Bombyx mori: one gene and its partner. The protein of the gene in region 2 binds, or shares a complex with, the protein of the main gene of each other region. Links are inferred from orthologs where the notes say so. Each region holds a gene or a part of one and is shown on either strand. Other genes may lie near its edges.

Evidence for each region.
Region 1: the proteins of Vlg (region 2) and protein gustavus are in contact, whole or in part, in a crystal structure (PDB 2IHS), measured with the Drosophila melanogaster proteins. The link is inferred for Bombyx mori from reciprocal best matches to the Drosophila melanogaster genes vas and gus. Residues at the interface, in NP_001260458.1 of Drosophila melanogaster: Asp184, Ile185, Asn186, Asn187, Asn188, Asn189, Asn190, Val192, Glu193, Asp194, Val195, Glu196; in NP_001246140.1 of Drosophila melanogaster: Ser64, Leu65, Asn66, Arg79, His80, Pro81, Val82, Ala83, Ser85, Asp87, Gly112, Thr113, His127, Tyr131, Val218, Trp219, Gly220, His221.

What each region holds. Positions count from the first base shown.
Region 1 is NC_085109.1:9,085,613-9,096,038, reverse strand, and holds the start of protein gustavus, read right to left. Parts: upstream 5,055-10,426; 5' UTR 4,458-5,054; coding exon 4,390-4,457; intron 1-4,389. UniProt on the Drosophila melanogaster protein: Involved in the localization of vas to the posterior pole of the oocyte. Required maternally in the germ line for efficient primordial germ cell formation.
Region 2 is NC_085125.1:8,258,363-8,268,966, reverse strand, and holds the start of Vlg (vasa-like), read left to right. Parts: upstream 1-1,835; 5' UTR 1,836-1,919; intron 1,920-2,435; 5' UTR 2,436-2,438; coding exon 2,439-2,474; intron 2,475-3,135; coding exon 3,136-3,229; intron 3,230-5,382; coding exon 5,383-5,505; intron 5,506-5,626; coding exon 5,627-5,880; intron 5,881-6,284; coding exon 6,285-6,470; intron 6,471-6,833; coding exon 6,834-6,917; intron 6,918-6,995; coding exon 6,996-7,133; intron 7,134-7,616; coding exon 7,617-7,793; intron 7,794-9,044; coding exon 9,045-9,240; intron 9,241-9,340; coding exon 9,341-9,538; intron 9,539-10,562; coding exon 10,563-10,604. UniProt on the Drosophila melanogaster protein: Involved in translational control mechanisms operating in early stages of oogenesis.

The DNA of each region.
Region 1 (10,426 bases), on a different chromosome or scaffold from region 2:
TATTTAAGTGTTTTCAGTGTTGTGTTGGGCAATGAGAATTCAAATTTATATATTGGCGTATTACTGATGATATGCGTATTTATGTAGGTATTGTAAGCTCGCACCTACCACCCTGCCTATTGCTCCTGCGAAGCATTTTGCATTCCGATTTGAATGGTGGCATAGCCGTTAAATAATACAAATGGAGACTCGACTCGTTCATCGACAGTGCGTTTCCAAATATCTTTTTTGTCACGCACCATCCGGCTTTGGAATGAACTCCCCTCCACGGTGTTTTCCGAGCGCTATGACAGTCCTTCTTCAAACGAGGCTTACGGAGAGTACTTAATGGTTAGCAGCAGCTTGGCTCTGCCCCTGGCATCGCTGACGTCCATGAGCGACGGTGACCACTTACCATCAGATGGGCCGTATGCTCGTCTGCCTACAAAGTCAATAAAAAAACAAAGACTTCGAACTATCACACTATAGCGGCGGTTTAGGCGTAGTAAGTGGGTAGATAAGTCATACTATTGTTGAATCGCTATTAATTGGTAATTTGATTAAAAAATCTAAATGATTTAGGAATATTGATTATTTTGTATGGTAGCCTCGGATTTCGTATGTGGACCTTATATATACATACATTTCCAGTGATATTTGAATGAGCCAAAGAAGTTTGATTAGAAGAAGTGATATTTGAAGAGTCAACGAAGGAAATAAAGATTCGGTGAATAAATATAAAAAAAAAAAAATAGAATGATTCATAAAATTGTGGTAAGGACCCTTTACCACAGCACTATACTATAAACGTAAAATTGTATTGTATATTTTCGTCCAATTTAGTTGTAGGTATGCGTCGTACCATTTTCTTTTTATTTCGAATGAATCCAATTTGGTTAATTAAAAAACGTTCGTGCATCAAAACTGTTAACGAAACGTAGCCTGTAAAAGTTGGGCCATTATGACAGCAAGAATTTTAATGAAATTTGATATTGCTTCATCAAATTTGATTAAAAGACTTTCTTTTTATTTTGCACGAAGTAGGTAGAGTCGCATTCAAAAGATCACTTGATATACTTGTAAGGCTACATATTTGAAGTAGCACGCCAGGTTTTAAATGACAATATGAGACGTAAGTGGCGAAAGTTGAAAATATACGGAAGGTCAAAAAGAAGTTTATCAACATATTGCGTTAACTTTTCACGTAAATTCTTATAACTGAAAATATATATGCCACAAGTCCACTAAAATTAAATCAAGAATGCACGCAAAAAAAAATCGCTCCGGTTCGATTTATCGTTTTAAACTACATACTTTAATTTTTAATATCAATCTGTAGATAATAATGGTGTGGCTTTTTTAGTAGTGACGGGCTACACAGTCCGCGATTGATTATATAGGATGGAATCATGTGAATAACCGCACTCAAATCGTTTTTTATGTACCCACATCGCGATTTAGACAAAGAGGTTCACATGACCTTGCAGGCGTGTGCTGGGCTGACGAACGCGGAAGAACAGTGCTGCCTACGAGTTTTACGAATTAAGTACCATATCCATTATAATCATGGTATTTTTTTGGGAATATTTCAAAGGTTCATGGTTTGCTTTATTTAATTGAACAGTCATAGGAGGGAACTAAATAATTATTGCGCCATAATAATTAACAATTTTTATCGATATAATGTTATATAATTGTATAATTGAATTTCTAGTAAAACATCATTTACTGACATAGCATATGTGTAAATAAACTACTATTAAAATTAAAAGATCGCATCTATCATAATTTTATTGAGGTCTAGACGCATATTCGTGTACACAAACGATATCAAATTTACGAATTATCGATTCGATAAACGTGTCTAGTTCGTACTGCCAGTCAGCAACAATATAAAGTGCAATGAACCGTAAATTTGGCAGCATTTGCACCATTAAAGCGTGTTTGCAAAGCTTCTCTATTACTGTGTAGGATATTGTGATCGCTTTTGTCTTCGGCTTGCTTACACGTTAATGCAGCTCTGCCACTTTATTTTTAACGGTGTTGCCACTGCGGGAATATTGTTTCGAACAAAGCAGACTTCGCGTTGATGAGTGAAAGAATTTATTTCTTCCATGTAAATAGAAACTACCGAAGTTCGAAATAAATACAAGTAAATAGTTTGAATTTGGATTGGTTAATGTTTAGGACACTTGGCCCTGTCATAATAATGTTTCGCGTACTAGTTACAGCGAACTCGAATGAGTCGTTGAAGATTCTCGGAAATGACGAGTGTTGGAGATGACGCTTTCTGACTCGTGCTCCGTACTAAATAGTACTAAATATTACGAGCCGGGGGACAGACAAAAACGTACGTCTAGTGCTAATCGAATAAGGAAAAGCAAATTTAAATTGATATGTAAAGAAACAAAAAATATGTTCACTTGCAAACCTCGAGTAAAATCCTTGAAGATGTAATAAGGAAGAATCATCCACGTCACTGCGGTTTAAAATTTGTAGCATACTAGCCGTCGTATATCAAATATATGTCAGAGTTACGGAATATTCCTTTTTCAGAGCGATTACAAAGTAAAAAGGGGACTGTTTTAATACTTTGCTTTCGTTTCCAGAGACGGCCAAAGTTGCGTGTCGACCACTGCTTACAATGAACCTCTATAAATTATTGTAATTCATATGCTTCTATGGATTTTTTAAGTAACCAATTTAATTTTCCTATTCCAGTTCTTTTTCTCTTTAGCGATGTTTGTGCATACTTAAGGTTGTTGAAAATATGGATTTAGCCCTTTTCTAATTATTCAGTAAAGAAAATCTAGTGTTAAGTGGTTATCGGATCATATCACAACAAGAATGCAACCTTGACAGATGAGGTTAAAATCTGAAACATATAGTAAAGCTGTTCCACTCTTAAAACCAGAAAGTATTTTTGTTTTGTGGTATAAATAGGGATGATAATAATACCTGCCCGTGTCGGCTTCAAAATACATGCCAGTAGCACGAATTCTGTTCCAAAAATTTTATGTAAGTATATTTTTACGCTTTCAATCAGATTACGGGCATTTTGTACCAATGTTCACATTGAACTCGAGTAAGTAGACGGGTTTTTTGATTCGTTTTCAAACCACGACCGTCAAACGACGCGGGTGGTATTGTGTAGAAAATAAACATTAAAATGTTACCCACATGGCTGCTGTTGGTGGTTTAGGGTCTTCGTTATAATTCTGTTAATTTCTAAAGTCTCAATCTGTTATGTTTACAACTACATTTATGTAAAAGAATTTTGTTTGTAAATAATGAGTTTTTATTATGAATCTTATTTTGTTATTGTTATGGGTGACATCATTAATTTTAATCATAATAACAAGCTGTTGAATAATTGTAAGTCATGATGTTTGTATTCGTAACATCAACTGGTTCTGTGAAATTACATAACAAACATTATAAGCTCTCTACACTGAGATTTTTGAACGCTAATTTCATGGATCCATTATTTATTACTTAGGTAGGTTTATTTTAAAACGTGGTCTAATTGTTCGTATGTTATATTATATATTTATTTTTTTATTCATGACAGGGTACATGGCAGAGAATTAAATATAATTCGATTCTATAATATATATACTATAGTAGTCTATTCGGGTATTGATCCTAGATTTACTTCTATTAAATTCAATAAATCGGACTAGGTTTTTTTTTATTAGCTTAATTGGACAGACCAACGACCCATTTGATACCAGCGGTAACGGAAGGCATAAATAATGAGGTGAAGCGATCACCGTGGTAAATATAGGCTATCCTACTCTTCAAACCGTAGTACTTGATTGGTACACGGCAGAAATAGACACGACGTTGCTACTAAGCCCGTGCTTACAACTGATGACTTTGCTTCTAATATTTAAGATACCGAAAGTTTACGAGTAAATAATAAGTAATGTAAATAATAAGAGTTAGATAGAATCATTAAGTTTTTTTAAATTTCTGTTGGACATGAGCTCACGGTCTGCTCGTACTAGAACCCATAGATGTTGCAACATGAATACTCTCATTAATCTTGAAACGTGAGTCTGAAGTTTCAATTCTTTTGTGTAGCAGCTGTCACACCATTGAAATCAGATCGAGTCAGAAATAGACAGGCTGGTGGTACCTGCACGTGTAAGCTTGAAGAATGCCCTGCCAGCATACAACTAGTACTACATACAAGTTATGTTGACGTAGATCTAAGTACTTTTATTATTAGGATTAACAAAAATATGTCACGTCTTCTTCTTTTGCAAAAGTTTCTATGGCTTGATTTAAACACATTATAAATAAAGGTTAGATCTTGTATTCTCTTTTTAAGTGGTTACTCATTATTAGAACAAGCGCATACACATTGATCGAGGCAGATGTGTGAAATAATTTTATGCAAATTACCTGGTTAGGTCAAGAGCAGCTGGCATTCCAGCCGGCACGAACCACCAGGATGGCAGCGGCGTGCACATCCGCTGTCGACGCTGCTCACGCGAGCATGCACCTCGCCGAGGTCCCTTCACTCACAGTCCAAAATAACCAGTCACACATTCACCACACGCGAGGAATCGTATCGCGTCGTTGTCAAAGCACTCTCATAATTTTTATGTCTTCTTTTAGACTTTACTTGACACTTTAATTTCAGTAAACTAGGAAATAAGTGAACAAGGAAGGCACCGATGGATTCGGAAAAAAAATCAGCCAAAAGTCAGCGCGTTACTTCACGCACCAGGAAATTTTGCTGTTCACAGAGCGAAATAATAATAAAAGTTGAGCACGACGAAAGGGCACAATCGATACCGAATGAATTTTTCGAAAAAACTTTAGGGGAGTCAATAATTAGAGGGAGCGACTTGAAGTGAATAAGGGTTGTAATAGCGCGCAAAGCTTGGGTCGATAAATTCCTTTTTTCGTACAATTCGAACGTCGTTTCTAATATTTATTTATTTCGATAAATATTTTCTATTTAGATCAAAAACAAAATGCTTAGATGTTAGATCGCGTGATAGCGGACGCGGTCGCTTTGCGAGGACGAGGCGCTCGGTCTGTGTGTCGTTTGGTGTTGGACTGCCGTCTGGCTCCGCTTCACCGCTTGGCTTTGACGTTGTTGAAACTAGAACGGACCGCGACGATGCTCGCTCCCGCCCCCGCTTCTCCCGAACTCCCAGAGTGCCATGTGCTCGAGATGCCCTATGATAGCGTGCCCTATCGCGGCGCTCGGGAACTTCACAAAGATTCGAGACGTGAAAAGAATTCATCACGAAACGAATTGGCCTCTGGCCTTTGATTTTAGTATTACAATAATGTAAAAGAGCGTATTAAATCCTATTAATATTTATTATTGAGTTCAATACAAATACTGTGAAATGTTAAGTTTTGATATAGTTAAAATATAGTTAAGGTTGTGTCCCTTTTGTTTTTATACACATTAGTGTTACGCGGTAAAAATAAGCAGATTAGATCGATGGACAGTACCTACTACAGATAGTTACAGCAAAACCAAAATCGTCCAAGGGATTATAATATACCCACAAGTAAAAAAGGGAATGAACGGTGTCACAAGTGCATCACAATTTGATCTTTTAAAAAGTATTTAAAGTGCTATACACTTGTAAATACATCCTCAACGTTGTGACTATGACTATCGATAAAAATATGAAACAAACAAGTCTATTAAAGCTGTATTAGCGTGACAAAAACCTTTCCTGAATAAGAATTGTATCAAATTTGACTTCGACCGGATAAAAAGAAGCGGGAGCCCACAAGTCACGAACGAATACGTCCACATTCATTCTTTATATATATATTTATACTAGCTTTTGCCCGCGACTTCGTCCGCGTTGAATAGTTCACAAATAACGCTTTATTTAAGAACAAATTTGGTTAGCATAAAAAACGTTATAGTGAGCCAACCTTAACATATAGACATATGCTGTCGCGAACTTTTTTTTAGATCTTTTAAAGGGGAACAATTCTGTCATACATTATTATAGCGAAACTTCAACTGTTTCTGCAGCGCACGCAGCGGAAACTCTCAAAAGGGAAAAAACCCGATATTGAAACATTCTCTATTGGTGCTCCGCTTGTATTGGTCTTAGCGTGATGTTATATAGCCTATGGCCTTCCTCAATGAATGGGCTATCTAACACTGAAATAATTTTTCAAATCGGACAAGTAGTTCCCGAGATTAGCGCGTTCAAACAAACAAACTCTTCAGCTTTATAATATTAGTATAGATTTACTACATTGTTATATTATTTACGTTGTCTGTGTTTATTCCAATATATAATACAATAGTTAAAAGTGTTGGAACATACTCACATTTATAATTATTTGCTCTATATTATTAAAAGATGTACCATTATTTTCAGAAAGGAATCAATACAAAATATAAAGACAGTATATTGAACGACGAACATAAGGCTTGTATTTATGTAGCGATGAAGCCCCACAGGACACTACAATATTGGTCATAAAACACTACGTAATGGACAATATTATTATGTTCAAGCTTGTGTTTGTATCTCGAAAATAGTCGCATATTAGAGAAAAGTAAGCAGTTCTTAGGCGGGCGACTGTAAATTTATAAGCATTACATAAATAATAAATAAATAAATAAATATTTACTAACAGTCACGCCACGTTAACTGGTCCCGTGATAAGTTCGTAAAGAACTTGTGTTACAAGTACCAGATAATGGAAATAAATATAAGATTTTTATTATACACATAAACATATTTAATATAGATCCATAACCCCGGAAAAGACATTTATATTAACATACAAATATCTTCCCTTGACGGGATTCGAACCCGCGACCCCCTTGTGTAGTGACCATGTCACTTACCACTACACCAGACGGCCGTTTATAGATAGAATAAAGAAATGAGTATGAAATTTTTTTTAAGTCTATTAAATTAAAAAAAAAAAAAAATTAAAAAAATTAAAAAAAAATTAATTAATTGCATTTCCTGTCACTTTAATTGTATTTAAATTATTGTTTCGTGTATGTTTATTTATATGTATTTTTCATTTTATATTAGATTTTTTTTTCAAAGCTTTATTTAATTGTCATGCTTTAATAGCTTTTATATTGTACACTTTTCCCCTCTTATACATCGTATTTCTCTCTGCTAATGGTTTGCTGGAAGAAAACACATGAATGAGTTAAGTTCGTCTTTGTACATAGTATTTAGACATTCTTTAAATCTGTTTTTATTGTATTTTCTTTTTGTGTACAATAAGTATAAAATAAGTATAAATAAAATGATTAAATTTTATATTTACCTAAAACCTCGTTTAAATAATAACACCCACCTATGTATGTCTAACCTACGTTGAAAATATGCTGTCCGATCGCTGTGTAAACAGTATTTCAGGGTTTTTCATCAAGTGAATGGCATTCACACGGCTAGTCATTGCATAATGTAATCAGAGGTAATCAAGCTGTTTCTGGGAACAGCCCGGAGTGAGTCAAGGATACCCATGATAAAATGCTAAACAGATCGTGCAACACGTTAAAACTTCATTAAGCTAAACGAAACCTATAAATTCGGTCAAATTGTACTTAACATACAAGACTGGTCGGCCGTCTGGCGTAGTGGTGACATGGTCACTACACAAGGGGGTCGCGGGTTCGAATCCCGCCAAGGGAAGATATTTGTATGATAAATATATATTGTCTTTTCCAGGGTTATGGATGTATATTAAATATATGTATGTGTACAATAAAAATCTTACGTTTATTTTCGTTATCTGGTACCTGTAACACAAGTTCTTTAACAACTTAGCACGGGACCAGTTAACGTGGCATGATTGTTAGTAAATATTTATCTATTGTTTTTTATTATATGATTGTGAAGATCACTTTAGTTTCATTGCATTTGATTCCCTTTTTATTGAATAAAATTCACTAAACACTAGATTATTTCAGTTTTTAGGGTTCTGTAACAAAAGGACAAAAAAGAGAACGTTTAAAGTTTCGTAATGTACGTCAGTTCGAATATTAAGGTCAGAGGTAATGATGACTAATATATGGCAATGGGCACGACAACACCAGAACATAAGGGGCTCTTTATGCTTCATTTTATTGAATAATCCGCACCTGACCTCTTCTTATTAAATAGAAAAGTTTTGTATCAGTGTTATTGTTTTAAAAGTTTTTTAAAATGCTGTTCGATTATTTTTTATCTCGATAGCTAAATAGACATGGGCACATAAGTCTTAGGCTCCCCGCGCACTAGGCAGCCTGGCTGCGGCAACCGAAATATTTGAGCAGCCAGTATAGAAACCAATCGACGTAAAAAACGCAAAGCAAAGAAAACACTCAGAAGGCTTATTCTATAACTATTTTAAAGATGTTCATACATACATAGCAGACCAGACCGGTTTTTGTAAATACAAGGGATTGTACAAGCATGCTGTGTCATATAACTAATATTTGGCAAAACGAATATGCATTGGCTACTACAGCAAGTGCGCGGGGACTGACAGCAGCCACATACATTTGGTGACACTCGCTCTGGCTGCCCACAGCCGATGGGCAGCCGTGCAACAGGCGCGTTGTAATGGCTGCCGCAGCCAAGAGTTCCGGGTTGCTTATGTGCGCGGGCTCCCATACAACGCCATATATTCGTTTGGCTGCCGCAGCCTGGTTGCTAGTGCGCGGGGAGTCTTAATGTCACTTCACCTCACCTTATTTAATATCTAGTATCATACTACATACTATACTTACTCATACAACTTCTGATCTCGGTGGAGTGGTGTAGCGAATGTAGCTACCATAGAGTATAAAATATCGGACTTAGATCTGAATCGCGCTAACGACAATTTTAATATACATAGTCAGGTCATAAATTCTGTCACATGTTTAATGTAAAATCATTTAAACAAGTTTATTCATTATGTAACCATTCATATACCAAAATGAACTTAACAAAACATAGATTCTTATAACACTAAAGTTTATTCAAAATGACCTCCGTGATTTTGAATACAGGCCTTCAATCTGCACGGCCAGTCGTCTATTGCAGCACGAACGAGGTCCATGTCAATATCGGCGGCTAGCTTAATCAAGGATGTCTTGAGTGACTCCAAATTGGGATGAGGCTTTGAGCACGCCTTTTCCTCCAAGTGTTGCCATATCTTGTAATCTAACGAATTCAAATCTGGACTGGAGGAGGGCCAGTCTTCGTGCCGGATGAAGTCGATTTCACGCGCCGCCAGCCAGTCTTGTGTGATCTTCGCTCTATGAACTGGCGCCGAATCTTGTTGGAATACCCAGTGCCTGTTATTGAACATGGTATGGGAAACAGGTACCACAAGGTTCGTCAGGACTTTATTTTGATACACAACTGCACTCGTTTTTACACCTTTCTCACAAAAATGTACCTCTGTTAAGCCCCAATAAGAAACTCCCAACCATACCATGAGCGAGGATGGAAAATGTCCTCGTTGGACACGCGGAATACGGTTGCTCGCTTCTTCATTACTGTGTGCGTACACCTTATCATTTTTTTTTGTTGTAGCTCTCTTCTACGGTAAAAAATTTTTCATCCGAAAAAAGAATTTCCCGATATTTTTTTCCCGCGTACCGCTTCAACAAAGCGCGGCATCTCTTCAGTCTCAGGTCCACTAGACGAGCATTCAAACGATTTCCTGTTTTTCTTCGATATGCCCGAAGCCCTAAGTCTTCATTTAACACCCTTTTCACCGTGGTTCTGCTTAACCCCATCTGAAGGGCCAACAGTTTCTGCTTACGTTTGGAATTTCTTTGAATTCGCGCCTTCACAGCTTTTATCACTGCTGGAATCCTAACAGACCGAGTGCGACCACTTTTTGACCTGTCATCTACACTAGAGTCTTCATTGTATCGTTTGATGGTACGATAAACGAATCTTTTGGTTATATTCAAATTTTTCAGTATGTTAAAAATTTGAATTGGCGCGTAACCGCAACGATGCAACGCAATAACTGCAACACGGTCTTCTTTAAGCGTCCACTCCATATTTAAAAATGAGTAAAATTCTAAATGTATACTATTTTTATTTTCATGAACAATTCGAAATTCGAATTCAATAAACTTTTTTGTGGCCAGCATTCTAAAAGAAAAGTTTTTACTGTGTGACAATATTTATGACCTGACTAGGTAAGTTAAAAATAATCTTGCATATTATATACAACTTCCGAACAACAATAATGGACAGTTTTGTTTATCGAGCTCAAAATAAGGGCGGCTCGATGGAAGATCGCTTAGTAAGCTTTTCCTATAGCACGATTGCAACTCCACTCTTCATCAAATTCAAGGAATGGCTTCTATATGACCAAATTGACGCATATTAAAAGTTAATCATGGTAAATTCATAATTTATTGAAACCGTTACTTGGTGTTGCTTGTGCTTGTATATCGTGCTTCAGACGTTTACACCTTTCTCCATAAATA
Region 2 (10,604 bases):
GCACAATGGTATCAGTAAATGAAATTTGTGTGATTCTTTCATTTTATTTCCACACTTTTAAGAATATTATACTCTTTAGCTCATTGATACACAAGCAAATTTTGTGTTTATTTTTAACATTGTAACAGAGTATGTAGGTACCTACCTACCTACGCAATACTCAATTACAGACAGGCGCAGCGTTTACTTTTTCATTATTTTTGACACTTAACTTTTTTTCGTTTAATGGCTGAGACTCTAGGCTTTTAAGCCTAACCATTATACGGATAATAAGAATAACAATTTTTTTTAAAATGTAATGTTTCCATTGCATTGTAGTCGGTATGATATAGGTTCGCCCCCTCATGACCTATGCAAGTGTAGTGTTCGCTCACGCGACCCGCACAAACTTGAAACCCCTTCAAATAATATAATCCCGTTCTTATAGGATAGCTGCCGGAGCCCCATGGTACATCCGAAACGTAGACCATCAGTAAGTATCTACATTCGGCATCAGTGTGCCATTTCGAGAAAGCGGCATGACACGAGACCTCTCATCGTAGCCACCGGTAAATAAATTCCCGATCCTGCGGGCCAAAAGGTAAACAGTAGACGTCACCCAAAACACGTCATTTCGGATCCACTCGATCCACTAACGGTGCTGTTAGGTACCCCAAGCACCAGTCATCGTTCTCGTCGAACCCGTTGCTTGCGACGAAAGGCTCAGCGAGTAAACTAACCCACAGACCACTGAGTTTCTCGCTGAATTTTCTCAGTGGGTCGCGTTTCCAATCCGATGGTAGATTCTGCAAAGCACTGCTCTTGCTAGGGTTAGTGCTAGCAACGTCGTCAGGTTTGAGCCCCGTGAGCTAATAGTTAAGGTTACTCTGAAATGGTCTCTCAAGAACATCAGCTTAGGAAAAAAAAAATGGTATGTACCTATACTACCTATCTGTAGGCTCAAGGGCGGATCCAGCTTTGGCGCCAAGAGGGGGTCACATAATCAAATTTTCGATGCGCTCGTTCCCAAACGCTTGCCATCATACAAAGTTATTAAATTATATTAAATTAATTAAATATTGAAGGTATGTAGTTACATAAAATCTGTATAGTGACAAAATATATAAATAAAATCATTATGGTCAATTAGTGGTTCACCTAAGTCCTGGAACCAGCTCAGGGGGGGGTCATGACCCCATGACCCCCCCCGGGATCCGCCGTTGTGTAGGCTATGAATGAAAATTAAATCTAGTGAAGTAAAATTAAGTGTAATATTATTATAATATATATTATATTCTTGATCCAGGCGGTAAAGTATTTGAGAGTCGTCCTGGATGACGTGATCTGCAAGTGGGGAAAAAGTGCTTTCGCAATAAGGTGTCATTTTACAAAACTTAAACGCGGCCTATACTGACTTATGAGTATGATTCGGTGACACGGCCGACACGCACATAGACTTCCACCAGGGAATTCAATCTCTGTTTTGTTCGAATAGGTTTTAGCAATCTTTCTTCTCTTTGCGAGAGTTTTTACCCGCCCAAGTGTCCTAGCTAGGCGGTAAGAACATGCCGCGCCGTAATCCTTCCACCCAAAAGAAAAACAAAAAAGCTAAAAGCATAATAGATGTCAGTTTCAATTTTCTCATTTTATTGTAATCCTTTTAAATTCACTTAATTATCATCATTAATTTATTATAAATGGAACAGCAATTTTATTTTTATATTGCCTACAAGTTGAGCAAAGAAAGAACTTTCAGCTATTCAAATAAAAAAATGGCGTATAAGCTTAGCGTTCTTTGCCTTTCCTAGTGAATCAAACAAAAAAAAGAGATTGGTTTGGAATTCTTCAACTCAGTGCCAAATTGGTAGCAATCGTTCGTCCGCCATTATTGTTTGGCGACTTAACGTTGTCGAAGTCCAGTGAAAATAAAAAATACCATTGTAAGTACATACAACTTGTTGATCTTGAATAGAATAAAAACTTATAATTTAGAGCTATAATTATTATTATGACTAAATAATTATTTAAAAACGTGCGTTATTGTAACACGTGCCAAATTATTATCCAAAAGCCGGTAGAAACTATTGTTTAGCGTCAACATAGAAAAAATAAAAAAAATAGTTTTACTTTATCTTTATCTTTACTGTTAAGTATAGATGTTAAAATAAAATGTATTCATCCAGTTATTGCTACTGGTAAAGCATTGTTAAAATAGTTTTTAGTTCGAAATGTATAATAGAGAATCAACTTCGGACATAGCTTTTAAGATTAAAATTGCAATATGATAGGAACAAATATCTTCAGTATTTAATATAACTTTATCATTAAAAAAACGGTTGAACCAAATAGCCATGCTGTTTATAAAAATTTCAATCTACCTTCCAAAACTACTTGATAAAAGTTAATGGAAAATGAAGGTCACAATGAAAAATTTTAATAAAAAAATTACTTTGCAGGTAATGGATGATGACTGGGATGATTCCTGTGAAGCTGTTGTAAGTCATCAACTATAAAAAATAAAAATGATTTTTTTGATAATAATACCTAAAATAATAATATATCTTTAACAAAATGTGAATTTTCTCCATATTATTATATTAAAGTCACATAATATTTGAATAGTTTGGTTCAATTTCCTTCATGGTAATATGTGTGCAAAGCTTCAAGAGAACATTTAAAAAGGTCAAAATTATGTGCTCTTTTAATATTTAACATTTTAGTCTATTTTTTGTTCCATGGAATAACTTAAGAACCACAGCGTTGGAGCTTATGGATATCACAATGTGTTACCATCCTCCTTTGGGACCAGTGGTAAAAGTCTCAATCAAATGGTATTGTAAACCGATTGTCCCACAATATGAACCCTTCACCTATTTGCAGGCTAATTATTTGACCTATAACTGATAATTAAGCAAATCAACACTTCTCATTAATGATTTTTACCACATGATGATCTCAAACTTGTGTAAAGCACATATTTTCATAAAAATAACTGGACCAAGCCTGCAGGATACAATTTCTGGAATATGAAATGAAATTTTAATGTCATAAAATTCAGTAACTTTTTGGTGTTTAATGATTTTCCTGGTTTTCACAAGCTGCAGACATAATTAAAATTACTTTAATTAATCTTATTATCTGTTGTCTGCATTCTAGGTGGTGCCACCTCCCCCACTACAGAACCATGATTCTGTAGATGAAGGTCACAGTCTATCCAGAGGAAGAGGATTTCCTTCCTTCAATGAGGATGGTAAGAATTCAGTATTTTTCATTTCTGCTTTTAAAACTGATAGTAACATATTAACTTAAATTACATTTGAATACTGCATAGAAACATAAACTAAGGGAATGAAATTAAGTGCTTGTTCTTGATATAAGATTTTGTGTATCTTACCTTTGCTTAGCTATTTTATATTAAGGGTTAAAGTATGAAATTGCCGATTTGTACTGAAAAATTGAAATTCGTTCTTTTTTTTCATTTAACATATTTTTTAATCAAAATATCTACCATTATTATCTATACATTGCTGCCATCTAATAGGAAGGTAATTTATGCCTTTGTGATAGAACTCTGGTGGTCTATATTCTACAAACTGTCAAAGCATTTTGTCCTGGGAAGCAAACTTTTTATAACATAGAAAATTGTCCAAATCACGAAAAAAATGCTAGTCCGTTCGAGCAAGGTTTGGCGAATATGGAGGGTGACGAATGGTTTCTTATTGCAGTTCCTGTAGAGTTAAAACGGTTTCTCGTGCTGTATGAGGTCTCGCGTTATCATGGAGCAATGATGGTGAAGATCGATTCATGAGTCGAGGCTGTTTCACTGCAAATTTTGCTTTCGTTGTTCGGATTTCGGCACAGTAGACATCTGCCGTTATTGCTTGACCAGATCGGAGAAAGCTATAGTGAATAACAACGTGCTGAGACCACCAACAGTTACCATTACCTTTTATTGGTAAACTTTGCTTTAGGACACTGTTGCAGCGTTTGACCTGGGGTCAGCCATTGCCTCTTTCTCTTACGGTTAACGTAAGGAATTCACTTTTCATCACATGTCACAATTCGATCCAATATTCCGTCATATCTGTATCGATTCAACAAGGCAACACAAGTTTCAACGCGTTTCTTTCTGCAGACCAGTCAAATCATAAGGGACCCCCGTTTTTCATATTTTTTTTATTTTATTGATTTAACGCATATGAGTCAACATCATTGGTAAGGTAACGTTAAACCATGCCGCAAATCCCTGGGTAGTATGGGTCGGATCGGCTTCCAACATCTCTTTCAATTCGTTCGTTCTTCAAATCAAAATTTCCATCACGAAAGCGTTTAAAACAAAATCGCACGGTGCGGTCATTAGCAGTCTCCGCTCCAAACGCAACATTGATATTGCGAGCTGTTTCTGCAGCGTTAGTTCCGCGTCGGAACCCTTATTAAAATATCACTCGAATTTTCGAAGTATCGCATCTTTTTCGTCTAAGCTGAATAAAAAAAAGCAACTGAAAGTCGAATCGAATTTTGCACATTTTTTAAACAAAGAACCTCATAGAATGGTACCATTTGAAAAAAGTTTCACCCAAAAATCTCAAACCGTGAAGCTTCTATGTCAATTCGAAGTACCAATTACAATAGAATGGCAATTTCATACTTTGACCCCTTTTATTTTTACATGTTTCACATTCACATTGTCTTGTCAATAAAACTGAAAGCTTTTACTGGGTATGATAAAAACTCCACTATAGCTATTTTTTGCTAAGAAAATTTAATCAAAAACATTATAATAAATATATATAACTAAATCAGAACTGTAAAAAGCAGATTATGATATTAATATTGAAAGAAGTATTAACAAAAACATATTGTAAGGCTGGTTTGGTGTCAATAAATTTTTGAATTGAGTTGCCACTTAAGTTTTCTTTAGGCACTTATGATGCTTTAATTAACTCTGGTTAAGCACTTAAGCATGGAATTTTAAGTATCCACAGCTGAACCCAAAAATAAAATGTATGTTGACATATGCTGAAAGCAGTTTTTCAACTCTAATAGCATTGTAATAATGTGATAGATATTGTTATTGGAAAGTATTCCTTTGGGTTACTTGATTAATTTGAATCTTTTCTCACTTGCATGAATGTAAAAAATTCAAAACAATTTCATTTTATCAAACTAAATATGTGAATAACTGAAATATATAACAAAAAGTCTGACCTATGTTTCTGTGTGGTCATGCATGCATTTTCTGTCATTGACTTCTTGAACCTGTTTTCTGCAGCATTGTTATTATAGACATTATTTTCTCAATAATATAAAGTCTTAATACTGCACTGATTAAAGCTACAAAAAATATATAGTTTAAATCATCAGTAAAATTTAATATTTCTAGAAGAAACATTTGAATTTTAGATGAAAAAGAGAATGGGTATGGTGAGCGACGGGGTCGAGGTGGCCGAGGCGGAGGACGAGGACGCGGCGGAAGAGGTGGACGTGGAGGGTCACGAGAACAGCACAGCGACTATGAGACTAATGGTAATAGACACAAATATCAAAAATTAAACTCCATATTATCCATGGATATTGAATTATTTATTGTTTGCAATTATTATTTATATTGTCTCATAAATGGTATGAATATTGTATATAATTATAGGTGACCATGATGATAGGGGTCGTGGCGAACGTGGCCGAGGCCGCGGAAGGGGAGGACGTGGTGGTGGTAGAGGTGGTGGTGGCGGAGGAGGCGATAGAAATGATTATGAAGATAATGAAATAGGGGAAAACGGGGAAACGAAGAAGCCGGTAACCTATGTGCCTCCAGAACCAACAAATGATGAGACGGAAATCTTTAGCAGTACTATAAGCTCTGGTATTAACTTTGACAAGTTTGACCATATTGCAGTAAAAGTAAGTACCTAAGTAATTTGTTGTACTCTCAAACAGTTTTAAAGTAACTATAGCAAGTAAATTACTTTTTAATACTTAATAATAAAAAGAGCTTTTTTTTTTCATAGTACAAAAGTTTTGATGAAATATTTTAACCTCGTACTAAAGAAAATAAATTCGTTTTATAGATCATAAAATGCTAAGTCTACAAATATGAGTATTTCCCTATATTTATGATGCAAATCAAATCTCTAATGTTATGTTTACTTCATAGAATGTGAATGCATCCATCCAATGCATGCAATTATCTATTTTAGAAAGAGCCAACACTATAAAGCTGGTGAAAACCATGGCTCTCTTGTCAATCTCTCAGTTAAAAACATTGTTATTCTCTGTCTAATATTGAATACTAATTTAATTTGCAGGTCAGTGGTGAGAATCCTCCGAGACCTATCGAAAGTTTCGAAACTGCAAATCTCAGAAAGTATGTTTTAGATAATGTACTTAAGGCTGGTTATAGAAAACCCACACCTATTCAGAAAAATGCAATCCCAATCATAATGAGTGGCAGAGATTTGATGGGTTGTGCCCAGACTGGTTCGGGTAAAACGGTAAATTTGAACTGTTTAATATACACAGTAATTCAATCCACTTTTAGTCTTTAGTCTTGCGTCTTTTTAAGTATTTCTTTTCCTTTAAAAAAAATTTTTTTTCCCATATTTTTCACCTTTCACATACTTTAACTGGGCCATCGTCAGTCAATCGTGCATGACCGCGAAAACTGCAGGAAACGAAAATAATATGGTAATCAAAATAAATAAATAAACCCGAGATTAAACTGTAAAACTAGTTTTAATTACGCTCACGACTCGCGAAAACCTTAAAAATAAGTAAATTACAAAAGCGAAAATAACTATTCAAAATTATTGATACAAACCTTCTTTTACAATAATTCAGTCGATTTTTTCTTTCAGGCTGCTTTTTTGGTACCCATAATTAATATGTTATTACAAGATCCAAAGGATCTGATCTCAGAAAATGGCTGCGCCCAGCCACAGGTGGGTAAATTTTTATTTTATTTTGAAAAGTAAGAATATTGTAAAGCATTTTTTGTTGTAATGTTAAATTAATTTTAGGTTATAATAGTATCTCCAACGCGAGAATTGACTCTTCAAATATTTAATGAAGCTAGGAAATTCTCATATGGCTCAGTTTTGAAGGTTGCAGTTGCTTATGGTGGCACTGCTGTGCGCCATCAAGGTGATAACATTGCTGTGAGTATTTCAATATTCAACTATTCAATATAATTTCAGTAAAACAGTTAAACATGCAATAGAATAACGTTTTTAGGGTCTAGGTTGAGTTATGAATGAAAGACTTATGTTACTAAATAATCAGCAGAATAATTAAGATAAACAATGTTTAATATTACTTACTAAGTTTGTATTAAAATAGGTCAAGATGATTGTATAAATACCGGCGGTTAGCATATTATGTTGATGTTGCATTCGTATTTTACCCGCCGTAACGTGTACTAAAGAATATATTATTTCGTGTGGATGTAACTTTTCTAGTAAGAAATTAGTGATCCTTAAAAATATATAAATTAGTTAGTCAACTACAACATTATTACTACAACCCTTTCTGCATCCTGGTTGAGCTATCAACTTCCTATATCTACAGCATTATTCAACATACAATATTATTATCATCATTTTAAATCCGAAATATAGTAAAAAATAAAACTTAATACACAGAGAGGCTGTCACATATTGGTAGCAACACCAGGCCGTCTTCATGATTTTGTGGAAAGGAATCGTGTATCATTTGGCAGTGTAAGATTTGTCGTACTGGATGAGGCTGACCGTATGTTAGATATGGGGTTCATGCCAAGCATTGAAAAAATGATGTTACATCCAACCATGGTGGAGACCGTAAGTTAATTAGTAATTAATCTTATTTATTATGCCAATTAGTAACTTAAATAAAATATAATAAAATAATTCTTAATGTGCAACTATTTAGTTTTAAAAATTGTGGGAATAAAGAAAATGGTGTTTAAAATATGAAATGGTCAATTTATAACTGATGGTCAATGGTACCTTTTTGTTTTAATAATTTCATATTCTTTCACTTAATGAATGAACCATGAGGGAGATCAGACAGGTAAATAATGATGAAATAAAATGAAAGCCAATGTCCAAGGAATTACTCATTACTTTATATTAGCTTATAACATCACTAATTCATTGGTACCAAATTGATTGCTTTAAAAGAGGGAGAAGCGACTTCCACTTAAATGAAATATTATGAATGTATAGAGGCACAAGGTGGTTTTGATTTGCTGAGTAGGTATAAAATTACAGTTAATTTTTATTCCTACTCACTGGTTACTTGTCAGTTAACACACTACCTACTTTGTATCAGACTGTAAGTGATCAAGGGAAAAATACACAATGCGAAGCTTGTGGTAATCACCACATCAATATAATATCAGATGTCTATTAAGAACTTTGATTAATGATTATCTCCATCATTATAGAAAATACGCAACTAATCAACTAACTTTTAAACTCAATATTTAATTTTAATTTTATAATTTAATTTTTTTTTCCAATTCGGACCTTTGATTAGAAATTATATTTCACTCATCAAATTTAGCTTTCACCTTTTAATGAACTACGTAAAAATATGTGAAAGAGAAAATTACTCTTAGAATATGTACAAAATGTCTCTCGATATTGCAAAGTTTGCATAGACCTTGAGAGGATATTTTCTTTGATTAATATATACAATTTCTCTAAAAATAGGATATATTTTCATATTCATCATACATTATTATAATGAGATATTGTTATGTCAATATCTCATACTTTAACCTAAAATAAAATAATAGAACTACTATAATATATAATAATACTATTAATTGGCGACTATTATCAGCGGATCCTGTTCGCTTGTAATATATTGGAGTCACATACATGCTTTGCATTCAATGATAATACTCGACCAAAGATATATTTGTGTACATTGGGGATTTAAAATTACTAATTAAACTGAACTTCTACACACTCCTTTACCCAGTTTTTATAAAACCACATAAACATGTAAATAGTTTTGTAATAATACAAGAAGAAATTATATATTTCTAAGAAAATTAAAATTGTGCTTTATATCCACTGCAGACGAAAAGGCAAACTTTAATGTTTTCGGCAACATTCCCCGAAGACATCCAACATTTGGCTGGTCGTTTCTTAAATAATTATCTATTTGTGGCGGTTGGTATCGTCGGAGGCGCTAGCACTGACGTCGAACAAATCTTCATTGAAGTCACTAAATATGAAAAACGGAACAGTCTAAAACAACTGATTGAGGAAAATGGTGAGAAAATATTTTAATAATATAGTCCATAATTCCAGAAAAAGTGAATTGTTGTTGTTCTTTCTTATTTTCATGTCATCTTATAAAACAATCATTACAGATGGTAAAAGAATCTTGGTATTTGTCGAAACAAAACGTAATGCAGACTTCATAGCAGCCATGTTGTCGGAACAGCAATTGCTGACATCTTCAATTCACGGCGATCGCATGCAACGTGAGCGCGAGGAAGCGTTACAGAATTTTAAGAGTGGGAAACACTGTATCTTGGTTGCAACAGCTGTAGCTGCACGTGGTTTAGGTAAACATCATTTAATTTTTATATTGTTTTTTTTTTGTTATTATAATGTTTACAATGCCTAGTTCAGTTCCAATCTGCCAAGAAATCCGAAAATCATAAAGATTAATGTACTATCATTTTTTTTATATAATAATGGTAATAATAGACGTTTATTCCGCCTAAGCAATAAAACAACTTTTGATGTACCGACATGCAATTTTTGTCACTAGTTAAACTTTGAACAACTTTAATTAAAACAATGAAAATGAAAACTAAATATCATATAACTAATTTATACCGCACTATCGACTGTCAAGCACTGTAAACACCGGTTATTTTTAAAAGAATGCTCAGTTATTAGTTTGTAAATTAAGAAAAATCTTAATTTACAAACTAATTGAGCATTAATATCTGAAAATATTAATTTCAATGAACATTTAAAAAACTGTTCATTGAAATTAATATTTTATTACTTCAAGGGGGGTGGACGCGCTCACGGCCCACCTGGTGTTAAGTGGTTATGGGCCCATAGACATTGTAACAAGGTGAATACCGACATAGTCGCATTGCTCGATATGAATGGACTGTGTGACCCTTTAGCCCAGTGGCTCTCAAACTAAGAGTCGCAACCCCTTTGGTGGCCGTGAGAAGGTTGTTGGACGTCACTATTTTTTAATTTTTCGGTCGGTTTTAGTAGCTCGTATATACCACTCCCTCCGTATTTAGGGGTCTTCTAAGCTTTTCTCTACTGAAGGCGTCGTAGTGGAAAAAAGTTTGCGCAACACTGCTTTACAATAGTTTTTTTTAATACAAAAATTGTATACTTGGTTCTGCCACCCAACACATACATATACATATAAAGTTATCCAGGTTCAGTGAAACATCGATTTCAGTACAACTTGCAGTTGTTCCATCCATATTCTAAGCTTAAAGGAGGTGGTAGAGAAAGCAAAATTTTTGAATATCTACTTTATTTTCAAATTTATCCAATTTTTTTCTCACAAGAAGTTGACGGAGTTACTTTATATTTTTTTTTTATTTTCAGACATTAAAAATGTAGACATTGTAGTGAATTATGACCTCCCAA